4 linked regions of the Danio rerio genome follow. The protein of the gene in region 1 binds, or shares a complex with, the protein of each later gene. Links are inferred from orthologs where the notes say so. Each region holds a gene or a part of one and is shown in the gene's direction. Other genes may lie near its edges.

Region 1 (3,574 bases):
AATCATGTGAGAAAAATACCGCTCTTCCTGACATGCTTTTTATATTCCCGCGCTACTTCTCCAAATGATGATAGATCGGTCTCCTGACCAATCAGCTGTCATGAAGGCGGACCTACAGAAATGACAGGCATCAGCTGTCGTGAAGGCGGACCTACATAAATGACCAGCATGGAGGGAATGGGAGAAAGAGAGATCAGGAGGCAAAAATACAGCCGGCTACAACCCTAACATTAGTTTCAGTCACAACTGCAATGTATTTTGCTGGTAAATATGTCATGTAAAAACACTTTACAAACACATTATATGTATATTTTTAAATTAATTTAAACAGAAACCTATCTATCTAACTGAAACCTTAAATAATCAAAAATGACCATCATGTCTGTGTCTGCACAGAGATCAAGCCTCTCACCTGAGAATGTGGATATTATGGTGTTTTTGAAGAAGATCTTTCACTAGTCTACACTGCAGTTATTTATTTAATTTTAGTTTACTTAGTTAAGATGGCTGCACTAAAGAAAATAGTTTTTTCTGACTAGTCTATATTGGAGGTATTTATAATTTTAGTTGTTTACTCGGGTATCCTGACTGTACTAAAATGTGATTGCAAAGTTAATAAAGAAAAAAGTTTAGTTTTTCTTGTTATTAAGTGAATCTATTGTTCCTTAGCATTGCTGTTAACATGACATCAACCCTAACCCCACAGCAAACAGGAACTGAACGGTGGCTCCAAAACCGTGAACCAAACCGAACCGTGACTTTGGTGTATCGTTACACCCCTACCAGCCATGAGTGTTTTTGGAAAAGATTGAACAAGTTTTTCAGACCTGCGTTTGGGGATCCTCCTCTGGGCAATACTTTCTGTACCAACTGTATAATTGAAAAGTCATAAACTTTGACATCATTTTGACTTCACATTGCTGTTTTTTCCTCCACAGATGTCATTATGTAGTTTTAAAACTCATTTTTAATATTTCTTTTTGGTCAGTAATATCACAATTATTTTTATCTTCACAGTCTCAGATCAAATAAATTGTAATTTTTTTTTACATTTTGGTGCAAATAAAAATATTTAAATATAGTTTACAGTGATTTTTATGAAGTTATCTCTTCGTACTTAAACTATAAATCAGTTACCTCTTATAGTCTCTTATTATTATTATTCAACACGTTTTGTTATTTGATATTCAAGGTTGGGCTCATTTTTGGCAGAGCCTCCTCCTCCACGGCAGAGAGTTGAAAGGCAAAGAAGAGTGCCCAGCAGAGAGGAGAAACGGATTATGCCCACCCAGGTCTGCTTATTATAATGCAAACACTTGACTGTCTCCCCAAAATACCTGTTTTTAAGAAATTAAAAAAATACCTTATCATCACAGCTGAAGAAAATGGAAGAATCTCACCAGGAGGCAACTGAGAAAGAGGTGGAAAGGATTCTTGGATGTCTGCAAAGATACTTTAGAGATGACTGTAAGCATGTTAAGCTGCTAACTATCAGCTTCCCACTATCAGAGTCTTTCCAAAATTGTACAATTTTTTATCAAAAGTAAACCCTAAAAAACAGTTTTAGATTTTTTTTAATCTTGTATTATTATTATTATTATTATTATTATTATTATTATTATTATTATTATTATTATTATTATCATTATTATTATTAATAATATTAATAATAATAATAATAATGTATTTTATCTTTTTATATTATTTTATGATGTTGATAACCTTTTATTGTTAAAATATTTGTATAATTATAGAAAAGTAATATTTGTTAAATGTTGTGAACTTGATCTGTTCTTTTTGCCATGACATAGCCAGAAAAGCTGATAAGGCATTAAACTCAAAAACTCTCTCTCTCTGGAACAGCCGAGGAGCCCATTTCATATTACGAGTTCGTCATCGACCCTAACTCCTTCTCACGAACGGTGGAGAACATCTTCCACATGTCTTTTCTAATTAGAGTGAGTTTAAACGCTACATTGGCCTTGAACATTCAACACAAGTCACACAATAACGAATTAAATCACTTTTTATTTATTACTTTTAGGATGGTCTGGCGAGGATGTACTTGGAGAATGGGCTTCCTTATATAGGTTAGATCGCATCCTTAAGTCACTGTTGTATTTTTTTTGTTTGTTTGTCTAAATGTACTTGCAGGCTGTAATATTTGTGCTTGTATTGTAGCTCCAGTAGAGGAAGGTGAGATACAGCCTGGTGGCGCTGCCATTCGACATCAGTGTGTCATCTCGATCAGCCAGGAAAGCTGGAGGGTGAGCGCTTTAACTGTTTTTAGCATTTCTTTTGGCATCACTTTTATTTTAGTGTGCTTGTTACACGTTTCATGTACTTACTTTTGTAATAAAAATAATTAATTCATAATTATATGCAACTGACCCCAATCCTAACCCTAACCATATTAAGTTAATGCAGTAAAGTAGCATTTCTCTATACTTTGAGGAGACCTATTGTGCAAAAATCACTTTTATAAGGAGTTTGAACAAAGTTGTGTGGTGACTGTGCATGAGTATATCCAGCCTCGTATGATAAAAATTAATGAATAATATTTTTATAATCACAACTGAAAAAGTGCAGAAACACTTTAAACTACATCTATTAGTGACGACCTCTACCTCATTAGCATAAATAGACCTGAGCAAGAAGCAGCCATCTGGCATAAGTTTTCACACCATACCTGTGGATGATAATGTCAGTGACTAAGAGGCATTATAAATGTAGAGTTTTAGGACGCACAAATGAACACCGTAGTCTCCATAGACGACTTTCTTCAGAGTCAATTTTTTTAGCATTTTCAGTTTTAAACAAAAATAATATTAGTTCTGTTTTATTACGCCCAAAGTCTTGGGGAAACAACATGGGCATAATAAACGAAGAAAAACAAATGTGTTGGGGTGGTGGATTTCTCAAACAAAACAAAAACTTAATGCAAAAAGACTCCCTTCGGTCGACAACCAAACTCAGACACTCAGTTGAGAGTATATATGAATAGATTTATTATAGAAAAATGTGGTTAATATAAATGAGCATCTCTTTAGGGTGACCACAGGCCAAAATAACAAACAAAAGAATCTATAAAGTAAATGCACTAAATTACCTATAACTATTTAAAGAAAAATACAAGAAGCTTACCTTACTCCCTAAACATAAACATAGTCAAAAGTAATCAAATAAATAGGCAGGCCACCCCTACACGCTCAAACTCTCAAAATATTTTAACGTATGAACATTAGTACAATAATGGTTGTTGGTCGTCGGCCAGAGGGGTGAGGGAAATCCAGGAGCTCCACTCCAAGCACCGAACACAGCAGAAATGAGCTCCCCGAACCCTGCCGGAAGCTCCTTTTTATACATGCCTCCCTGACCAGCAGCCAATCAGAACTCAAGATCACGCTTGTATGGGAGCCTATGAGACAACAGAAAAACAACAAGAAGGCGGGACAAAGAAAAAGACAGAGTACAATTCGCAATAATAAATAAATAAATAAATAAATAAACTTCAGTTGTAACATGTTTTAAATCTGTTATGCTGATGAGTAAGTGTTTGTAGCTTCACCCTCTT
Region 2 (3,024 bases), on another chromosome or scaffold:
TAATTTTAACAACCCACAGACATCGTCACCGAATATAAAGCAGAGGTCAGACTTTCTCATATATACAGAGCCTCATTTCAATTTTCAGGTTTTGTAAAAATCGATCTATTAAATTAATCAATCTATTAAAGAAACGTTGGCTAGAATTCTGCATGATAGGCTTAAATTATAGAGAGACATAGCAGATGAACCGAGACTGCATCAGATCAATGTTAATCTTTCTTTCGAGCTGTCAGTGCGGAAATGAACAAAACAACGGGCCTAATACAACATATTATACAATTAAAATATAGAAAAATTAACAGATAGTAATTTCGGTCAATTTTCCTGACGGATAAACCGAGATCAGGCTTTATAAACAGCTCTCGGTAATATTTCAGCATGCTTTCACTCGCATTTACCGGTAAGAATGACATCTGGCCCTGCTCATCATTTTCTCTTCATATAGCCGTATATATGGCTATTACACGATCATAATACACTGTGATATAGCCTGGGTCGTTAGTTCGTTGCATTGTTTTGTTTTCTCACTACAATCCATCCGCTCAATAGGGCAGAGATCGTCTCATTCAGGCAATCTCAGACTGATTGATTTGGCGCGGATGCGAGCGCAACTGCTGGATATATGCCACACAAACTAACGGGGGAAACGAGACAGATTCCGAAACAAACGTCTATGTGTGAAAGCACCGTAAGATTATATTTGCACACAATTGACAGACAGTTGCAGCACGCAGCTCTGGCTCAATCTGTCAGTCAACAAGGCAGCACTGTACACTGACCCGAGCATCTCGCACACTGGCTCCGGGCTATCGGGCAGTCCTTTTTGTCGAGCGCTGATGGTTTAAGCTCTGACGATGGGTCTCCTGCGTCTGCACAGTTTAACAAGCACTTCAACAAGCGTGTTTTTTCCCGCTTGGCAAGCCAAGCTGACGTGACATGGGGCGTGGCAGCATCGACGATTCTATTTTTTGATTTGATAATCGAAATCGAGCATAAATTTCGATCGATTTTCAATTAAAATCGAAATCGTGACACCCTTATGTATAATATACATTATTATTAATAACATTGGAGTAGCTTATACATCAGTGCACAGTGCTTATGTATGTGTACAATATACTGACACTGAGGAGAAAAAACATGATTAAAGTTGTTATTTTTGTTTTAATGTGCGCATAAAAGTATTATCATAGCTTTTTTTTTTTTAGAAATAACCACTGAAGGAATATGTTTTGAGGATATTTTTATAACAATTTGGAAACATTACTGTCTGTGGAGGATAAGAGAGCTCCCAGATTTCACCTAAAATATCTTACTTTGTGTAATCAATAACATCATTTTTATATTTGGGTGAACTAACCCTTTAAGGTTTTTCATTTCAGGTATGGAAAACAGCCCATCTCTGAAGAAACTGGGGGAGATGATTATGGAGTGCTCCAGACTAGACAGTGAAATCAACTGTTTAGTGGAGTCCGTTAATGAAATGACTGCTCAGGTCTGTCTTATCTAACTAAAATCCTTCCACATTCACCAGCCAAGCCAGCGGGATGACTGTCTCTCACATGTTCTGTAGGTCAGACATGCACCTCCAGAGGCCATGGTTAATCTGAGAGGCTCTGTAAAGGACCGCTTCACTGAGCTGATCGCTGGAGTTTCAGATTCAGACCTGCGAAATCACAGCAAGGTGGTTGCTTTCAAAGAGACAGTCAGGAAATATGCCATGCAAGGTTGGAAACCCAAAAGACCACAACATGTTCACAAATGACCCTGTATTTTACACATCACAATAATTCTAAATAAGGCTCAGTCATTAAGTCTAATAAGTGTGTGTGTGTGTGTGTGTATGTGTTTGCATATGCAACAGCTCAGAATCCTGCTGAGAATGAAGAGGAAGAGCTGGATGAGGACATTGCTGTAACACAGAGCCAGACGAACTTCATTTGCCCTCTCACGCAGGTACACACTAGCAGTGTTTAAATGCAAAGAGAACACATAAGAAACAGAAATGTTATGTTATTTTAATGTATAATTTTTTGTCCTGACAGGTTGAGATGGTCAATCCAATGAAAAACAAGAAATGCAATCATTACTATGACCAAGAGGCGGTGCTTGAAATGATTAAGAACAAGCACAAAAATAGGAAGAAATTTCGGTATGTAACCACTGCTCACTTCTGTCTTCATGGCATCTTAAATGAGTGTACAAATGCATGCAGCCTGTTTTAATATTAAAAAACAAAGCAGTGCTCTCAGATTGAACTTTTTAGATTAGCTAGCAGTTTCTCAATCCACTAATTAGAGCTGTGGTGAAAAATCATTCAAGAAATTGTTTCTGCGTTGATTCAGAGATTTTCAAAACGCATCGATATTCCTTCTTGAATCAATTCTGAGGTTATTTTTTTAACAGCAGACAGCTCTCTTGGCTAGTTTTTAACTGTACACTCACATGCTCATGAGGAAGAATGCCTGCGTGTTCAGCTGAGTCATGTTAACACAGCTCACTATGGACACCTATTTTACTTTTATAAGATGTACAAAAAGACTTTGGTGTCTCTAGAAGGTGCCTGTAGAATCGCAGCTCAAATTACCCATCAGATTATTTAGTATATAATGTAGAATCTGCCCATTTTTGGTGCTGAGGACTATGTAGTAGAGGTCTGCATTCCACGGGACCTGACCAGTTTTCTTGTGGCGCGGAAATAAATTTCTGAATAAAACCCTACTGCTTTGCACTACTGCCCTCTTTGGCAAGACGAGTACACAGTTATTTTTCATGCCAAAAAAAGCATCTAAATGTGAATGTGAGAGCGCACGCATCCTCTGTCGTGCTCTATGTGTTTGTGTGTGTGGGTGAATGAGAGCGTGCAAATCCACTGTGGTGCTCTTTGTGTGTGTATCGCTTGTAATAGCCTGACTGGACTCTGTAACATCCAGCTGGGTTTTTTGGGAGGCCTATTTAACCACTTTACATTCTTTCGTGGCCCAATATGTACCTGCTAGGTGTATAGAAATAATGCTGATA
Region 3 (3,574 bases), on another chromosome or scaffold:
TAATGAGCATCATTAAATGTCTTTTTTTTTTACTACATTTAGAGTTTATGTGTTTAATGTTTTTTTTATTATTTTTTGCAGGCCTTACGGCTTCATCTCGTACTTGCGAGAGATGTTTGATGCTCCTGAGGAGGTTATGAGTTATTTATGCCATCAGTACAGAGTTAACGATGTACCAATAGGAACAGAGAAGACCAAGGGCATGATTGAATCGGTTGGTTCTCCTTTGATAAAAAAGTGATGTATAGCTGAAAGCAGAGTAATATACTTTAAATTAATTCATTATGGTGGCGCAGAGGTGCCGTAGGTAGTGCTGTCGCCTCACAGCAAGAAGGTCGCTGGTTCGAGCCTCGGCTGGGTCAGTTGGCGTTTCTGAACGGAGTTTGCATGTTTTCCCTGCATTCGTGTGGGTTTCTTCCGGGTGCTCTGGTTTCCCCCACAGTCCAAAGACACAGGGGTGATAGCGTTCCGGCACCACGCCGGATTTCCGGCGTACTGTGGCTGCGGGGAAAAAAAAATCAGGTTCACGGATATTGATCTGTCATTTCTCTAGATTCACAGAATTCACTCACTGCTACTGATTAATTGTGTAATTTAGAGAGCTTTATAAATTTTAACAGATCTTTGTGAGATCTCTATGAACTAAGATTAGTGACGCTTTTTAGTGATAATAAGAGGAGCTGCTTTGCACTTTCCAGGCTATAATCCATTCAGAATTTGTATGAAACTTTCGTTTTCGGCACATATACGCTGATATGTTTTGGGAATGACATCTGCATATTTACGCTGGGTTTATTCTCGAAATAACGGTGAAGAAATAGACGGGACAAAAATATATTTCCCCCTTCTCCTTAAACAACTTAGTGTTTCAGCTATGAAAGAGGTCAGTTTTGTATGTAGCCTAATGGCAAAGTGTTTATATTTAGTTTCGTTTTTTATTCGGCTTATTTAGAAAAACGTTTGGAGCATTTTTTATTCGTTAAAAATAAGTTTTTTTTTAACGAACAGCGCCCAGCGGAAGACCATCGTTGTCTGTTTGATCAGTTTGCCTTCTCAGATCATCACGACTTGCCTAAAATAAAAGATATAAAACAGTTCAAGTATAAAACAATGGTAGCTTAAACGTTAAAGAATGTGTGCTATTAGGCGCATAGTTTGCTTATAAAAAGCTTGCAGGACATCGAGGCGCCAGAGTAATCACTTGCGTTTTTTTAGTGGGAGCAATTTAAAGTTATCCGTCATTTTTGCTCACAAAGTACGAGTAATACATCAAAGAACGTTACAGCGTTTTTATAAAATAAAGAAAACCAAAATTATGCGCTTTCTGTCGTCTGGTTTTTGAACAGGAGCGCTTAACAAAATGAAGCAAAATGTATATGCCTCCCAGACATAATAAATATATTTATAGAAAGCTTTAAATTATTACTTAACGAAATAAAACAAATCGAAAACAAAAAAACTCCTTCATGTAATCCGTAAAGATGAACTTCTCTCTAAAGGCGAGTCCAAGAGGAGATTGCCAGTCAGGATCTTTGCGACACTGACTCAGAATAAGTTTATTCATAAATAATTAAGATATGTCCTTACTCTTTCCTCGATACATTCATTGTTATTTGTTTTTGCCGGTGCTTGGGGCGAGTTTTAGCTTATTGTGTGCGCTTGAACGCGGATTCACAGTAGCAGTTTTAACATGGAGTGACACGACATCTGACGTACAGATGACACTGGCACATGCCACTGAGTGTAGTGACACTTCCGGTGGCACGTCCGTTTTTCCACTGTCATGTGTCACTCGCTAGTGGCATGTGTAGTGACCTGTGTCACTCAGAGTGTCGCGCTGCATGTCACTGCAGTGACATCGACACCCGGCGAAGCTTATGACATTAATTAACACGAGCAAAACCATATTTAATCATTAAGCGACATTTAACCTAATTTATCGCATCGCAAGTTAGTTTATTTGCTGAGCTACTCCACGATGTTTTAATTTAAACGCATTTATTTTATGTATTCGTAGTCATACTTCCGTACGTAATATAGTCATTTGACAGTACATGTCAGTCAAATTTATTGTGGCATGCTTATGGGAGGGGTTACACTTATCTGTTGTACTGTATACTATTGCATCCTGGCAGTTCCTTTGTTCCCTACAATATGGACTTCTCTATGTTTTTAATTCATTCATTTATTTTATTATTTAACTTATTTTCATTTTAAGGTATTTTAAATAATATCCTATAAAAAGTTATAATAAAATGCATGTTGAAAACTCATAACATATATGCATGTAAGATAACAGGTGTCATTTGCCTAATGATTTTTAAATATTAAAGCAAAGAGACTTATAAGATTAATGTGCTTATAACGTGCTTATACTGACACCTACTGGCACATGTCACAAGATCACTGACACTGGCATGTGTCACTGACATAACTGGCATGTGTCTAAAAAGAGCCACTTGACAATAATGATGATCAGGGTTACACATAGGCTGTTAATATATTTGGGCCCAGGGGCCCACAAGTTATGTGTTAAAAGTGCGTTGCATACATAGTACCCCCACCCCTACTCACCTCAGGGGCAAGGAAAAAAAGTTCAGGGTCAGGAATTTTTTCCACTATCAGCCCTGAAGACATGTGGTACAGGTGAATTGGGTAGGCTAAATTGTCCGTAGTTTATGAGTGTGAATGATTATGTGTGGATGTTTCCCAGAGATTAATTGCGGCTGGAAGGGCATCCGCTGCGTAAAAAGATGCTGGATAAGTTGGCGGTTCATTCTGATGCCCCAGTATAGTGAAGGTGACACGGGCGCCGTCTTTCAGATGAGACGCTAAAACGAAGGTTCTGACTCTCTGGTTATTAAAAATTCCATAGGATTTCCCGTAAAGAGTAGGGGAGCAAACCCCGGTGCCCTGGCCAAATTTTCTCCTTTGGCCCATCATGGCCTCCCAATCATCCACTCTATCAATATCAGGTGTGGTGAGCACACTGATGCTGTTGTCCTTTGTTTGCCGTCGCATCATCCAAGTTGATGCTGGACACAGAGGGGGGGGGGGGAGGTGGGGGTTGGGGGGTGGGGGGGGTACAGAGATGGCCTCAAGATTGTGAAGCGCTTTTGTGTGCATTTATACACAATAAATGTGCTATATAAATACATTAAATGACATTAGATTATACTGGGTTATTAAAAAGCTCTTATTACTTATGAGAGGTCTTCAGTTTACTTGATGCACATATTTAGATATAACTGGTCAGAATAGTGGGCATGGACTATAGTAAGATTCGTTATTTCCAAACACAGCTATTTAGGGCATCATGTGAACATTCTATGCAGTTTTCATTGTAAATATTTAGTTCTAATAATCTAGTTTATTAAACTTGCTTATTGATTAATGAAAAGTAAATAAATCAAACATATGGAAGCAGTAATCAATTTTTGTGAGTAAATTGACAATTTTTTTAATGTTTACACTTGTTTACACCTGTGGCAGGTGATCAAAGACCTTCAGTTGAGAACGATTTACACAGCGGAGGAGAGGTATAATGTGAAGAAGTCTGCTTACTCCAATAATG
Region 4 (3,574 bases), on another chromosome or scaffold:
TATAACAATTTATCAATAAACACACACCTCATTTTCTCGCTGTCCACTCCTGTGATTTGCTGATCAAATGAAAAACAAAAGACAGGGAGGAGATAAATTCTGCCGCCATTTTCATATCAAATTTAAAAGGGTACTGAGGCGATAATTTAGTGTAGTTTATGAGCTAATTTCAAAAGTTTTAGGGGGGCTGACTAAAAATATAGGAGGGTTACAGCCCCCTTAAAATAGGCCTAGCAACGCCCATGGTTGTTTCTATGCCTCATAGCTGCAAACTGAATATCAGCTACTGTATTTAGATACGAGTGCTCTCTTTAAATTCTGTTTCTCTGTTGTATTCTAGGGCAAGAAAAAATTGATGATTTCATCAATGTTGTCAACACTCACCTTCAGCCCCTCTTTATGCATATTCGTAAAGGGATGTCGGAGGAGGATGGCCAGGAACATTTTGTTTTGGTTTGTTAAATCTAAAATACATTTATGTTTAAGGAGAGGTGTTTTTATGTTTTCTAGTGTCTACTCAGTAAATGTGTTAGATATTAATTTTGATTATTGTTTTTGCATACTACTAATATATAATAGTAAAATGACATATGTGTTTGATTTATATTAAGTTAAAACCTAATCTGTTGTTCAGGTAAATATGGCAGAGACCGACATTACACGAATGGCTGCTGATTATGCGGAGAACGAGTTGGAGTTGTTCAGAAAAATAGTAAATACTTATAATATTTGTCAAATACTATTTTATATATTAATATACAAATATTAGTGCATATTGAATACATTTTAAAATTGTATTTTTTTTTTTTGTGATGCAGAAAATAAGTTCTAGTTTGGCATTATTACTTCAGCCTTTAGAGTCACAAGATCCATCACATTATTTTAATACTGATTTGCTGTTCAGTATTGTTATTAGTAGTATTCTAAGTGTTAAAAATTTAATGTTTAATTTTTAATAACTGTGCAGCAAATCCATGTAATTTAACTATTGGAAAGATTCATTTTTAACTGCTGACTATTAATTTATTATTCACAGTTCACAAAATGCATTTTGTATGTAGAATTACTTATTACAAACCTATTTTATTATGGTATAGTATATCTTGTCTCGGCAGTCTGCAGCAAATTGTGGAAATTTGAGTCTGATCTTAGAACTGTTTCTGAATGATCATGTGATACTGGAACTGGGAACTGAATGAAATTTAGCGCTGCCATCACAGAAATAAATTACATTTTAAAATACATTTAAATAGAAAACATTTAAAAAAAAAACATAAAAAACGTTGGTCATTGAATAAATGGTTTCTAATGATTTCCTGTTTTGTCTTTATTCAGATGGATCTGATTGTGGAGTCTGATTCCGGTTCTGCCTCATCCACAGCAATTCTAAATTCTGCTGACAAGCTGATCTCAAAGAAATTAAAGAAGAAAGAAGCAGAGCTAGTCTTAAATAAATTTGTACAAGACAAATGGTTAAAAGAGGTACACTTTATTATTTTTATATATATATATATATATATATATATATATATATATATATATATATATATATATATATATATATATATATGGACAATATCACATGAGTAGCAGTGCGATATGGCTCTATAACGGCACTTGTGGGAGACATGTGTTGGCTCAAGGCCACAAGCCGAGTGCTTTAGTGTCAATATACAGCTATATTGCACTGCTACGAGTGTAATATTGCAATTATACAACAGTTTGACAGCATAATTATGTATATAAAAGAAAAAAATTAAACACGGAGAGTCTCATAAATCCTTTTGTATGAAGAACGTCTTTTCTTCTGCCATTTAATCAGATCTGCAGCATCAGAACCATTGCTGCTTCACAAAGGTCACTTGAGTTAGTGTTTGAACGATTCTCTAGCGTAATGTCTAAAGTGATGACTAAACAGTTGATTTTGCTAATATTTTAAGATTATAAAGCTGAACGCATTAAATGCCATCAGTCTACAGAGATTTCCCAATATCAGCACTACAAGATACAAAAGAGAGAGATTGACTTAATGTCACTTACCAGTTTTATTGCCGTGTTATTGTTTAGTCAAATTTGATAAGCTGTGGTTTGAAATTTATGCTGAGTTTTTCTCATCTAAGGGCTTATTATGCAGTCTCTGTCGCCATGTTGTGGTGGAACGTCAACTGTCTTTGCTCTGCTCAGTATGACAGGCGAACATGCTGAATCTCTGAAATTATAAATATTTAAAACAGGCACTTTACTTTTAAACTGCATAGTTGTAATCTAAAAAACTACATTCTCGCTTAAAAAGCTTCAAAAGTACATTATGTTGTCCAACAGCTGCAATATTTGTCACACTGTAGTGAGTTTATTCATCTGCTGTCCCTGTATGTGGGCGGAGTAATATACTCCGTAATATATAATATAGCCTAAGTATATTATATAATAATATACTTAGTAATATATATATAGGCTGTGTAGGAGCCATACAGTATATATTGCCGATTAGCCACAAGGTGTCAGTACCAGACTATATAACTGTGGCTTCACTGCATGGGGGAAGAGAGCGTTGGTTGGAAGCACACAGTTTTTGACCGTAACTTAATGTAATGTAACTTAAAGTAACAGAGAAGTGTGCATAATAGATTAAGGAAAATTGATGAAGGAATTCTGTTAATTGAAAAATTAAGACGTTGTTATTTGCATCTATTTTGACTACAGACTCTGACTTTTACGCATAAAAAAACTTGCTTGCTCTACCAACATTAGCGGCAATGGAGAGCTACTACAGGCTGTACTAGTGCTGTTATTACGGGAATATTGTATGGCTGTCATCCAATCAAATTTGAGAAGCAGACAGAACTGTTTTATATATATATAGAAAAATATGAACCGTCATTAAGGCACAAACAACTAAAGTAAGCTATTAAAAATTAGTTATTAATACCATTAAATGTTAAAAATTCTCTGCATTAAAAAGCAGTGAGGAATTATTTGAAGAAGATTTACAGTGTCATGGGAGAGCTAATCATTTTGATCTGTACATGTTTTACAGTTTCTATTGTATTTAAATTTATATTTGGCAACAAGTCGCTCTTTTTTCAAAAGCATTATTTTTGTTCTGCTTTTTTCTGCATTAGCAAGATGGTGAGTACACTCTAAGTGTTCGCTGCATTGTGGAAATGGAGCCATATATGCGCACAATTTACCAGGACATGATCAAAGTGTGCTACGTGTGCCACAACATCGCCCTACAGGTAATAAACGAGTAAAGATCATGAACCTTCATTCATGACAAAAAAACAGGCATAAGATTATTTGATTTTTAATTCCAGACATCATTAAAGAACAGTACATGCTTAGTGATTGTTTTTATGTCATACTGTTTCTTGCTTAATAGTGTACTATTATCACTTACACTACATTCAGTGAAATTTATACTGTATTTGTGTAGACCTAGTGACACAAAAGTTACACACTTTTATGCCATTTTCAGACATGCCAAACAAAATGCTTTTCTTTCAGTGCCAGGTATGTGAAAATCCATCATGTGAAATCAAGGTGCACCTTCCCTGTGTCGCTCGATATTTCA

What was found.
Region 2: nsmce4a (region 1) and nsmce2 share a complex: the UniProt entries of both Homo sapiens proteins name them as parts of the SMC5-SMC6 complex. The link is inferred for Danio rerio from reciprocal best matches to the Homo sapiens genes NSMCE4A and NSMCE2.
Region 3: nsmce4a (region 1) and smc5 share a complex: the UniProt entries of both Homo sapiens proteins name them as parts of the SMC5-SMC6 complex. The link is inferred for Danio rerio from reciprocal best matches to the Homo sapiens genes NSMCE4A and SMC5.
Region 4: nsmce4a (region 1) and nsmce1 share a complex: the UniProt entries of both Homo sapiens proteins name them as parts of the SMC5-SMC6 complex. The link is inferred for Danio rerio from reciprocal best matches to the Homo sapiens genes NSMCE4A and NSMCE1.

What each region holds. Positions count from the first base shown.
Region 1 is NC_133188.1:32,177,697-32,181,270, forward strand, and holds part of nsmce4a (non-structural maintenance of chromosomes element 4 homolog A), read left to right. Parts: intron 1-1,192; coding exon 1,193-1,292; intron 1,293-1,376; coding exon 1,377-1,467; intron 1,468-1,863; coding exon 1,864-1,958; intron 1,959-2,044; coding exon 2,045-2,090; intron 2,091-2,181; coding exon 2,182-2,267; intron 2,268-3,574. UniProt on the Homo sapiens protein: Component of the SMC5-SMC6 complex, a complex involved in DNA double-strand breaks by homologous recombination. The complex may promote sister chromatid homologous recombination by recruiting the SMC1-SMC3 cohesin complex to double-strand breaks.
Region 2 is NC_133191.1:26,962,846-26,965,869, forward strand, and holds part of nsmce2 (E3 SUMO-protein ligase NSE2), read left to right. Parts: intron 1-1,385; coding exon 1,386-1,498; intron 1,499-1,576; coding exon 1,577-1,730; intron 1,731-1,867; coding exon 1,868-1,959; intron 1,960-2,048; coding exon 2,049-2,155; intron 2,156-3,024. UniProt on the Homo sapiens protein: E3 SUMO-protein ligase component of the SMC5-SMC6 complex, a complex involved in DNA double-strand break repair by homologous recombination. Is not be required for the stability of the complex.
Region 3 is NC_133185.1:17,911,739-17,915,312, reverse strand, and holds part of smc5 (structural maintenance of chromosomes protein 5), read left to right. Parts: intron 1-81; coding exon 82-214; intron 215-3,492; coding exon 3,493-3,574. UniProt on the Homo sapiens protein: Core component of the SMC5-SMC6 complex, a complex involved in repair of DNA double-strand breaks by homologous recombination.
Region 4 is NC_133178.1:43,211,227-43,214,800, forward strand, and holds part of nsmce1 (non-structural maintenance of chromosomes element 1 homolog), read left to right. Parts: intron 1-340; coding exon 341-453; intron 454-634; coding exon 635-712; intron 713-1,335; coding exon 1,336-1,482; intron 1,483-3,122; coding exon 3,123-3,239; intron 3,240-3,507; coding exon 3,508-3,574. UniProt on the Homo sapiens protein: RING-type zinc finger-containing E3 ubiquitin ligase that assembles with melanoma antigen protein (MAGE) to catalyze the direct transfer of ubiquitin from E2 ubiquitin-conjugating enzyme to a specific substrate.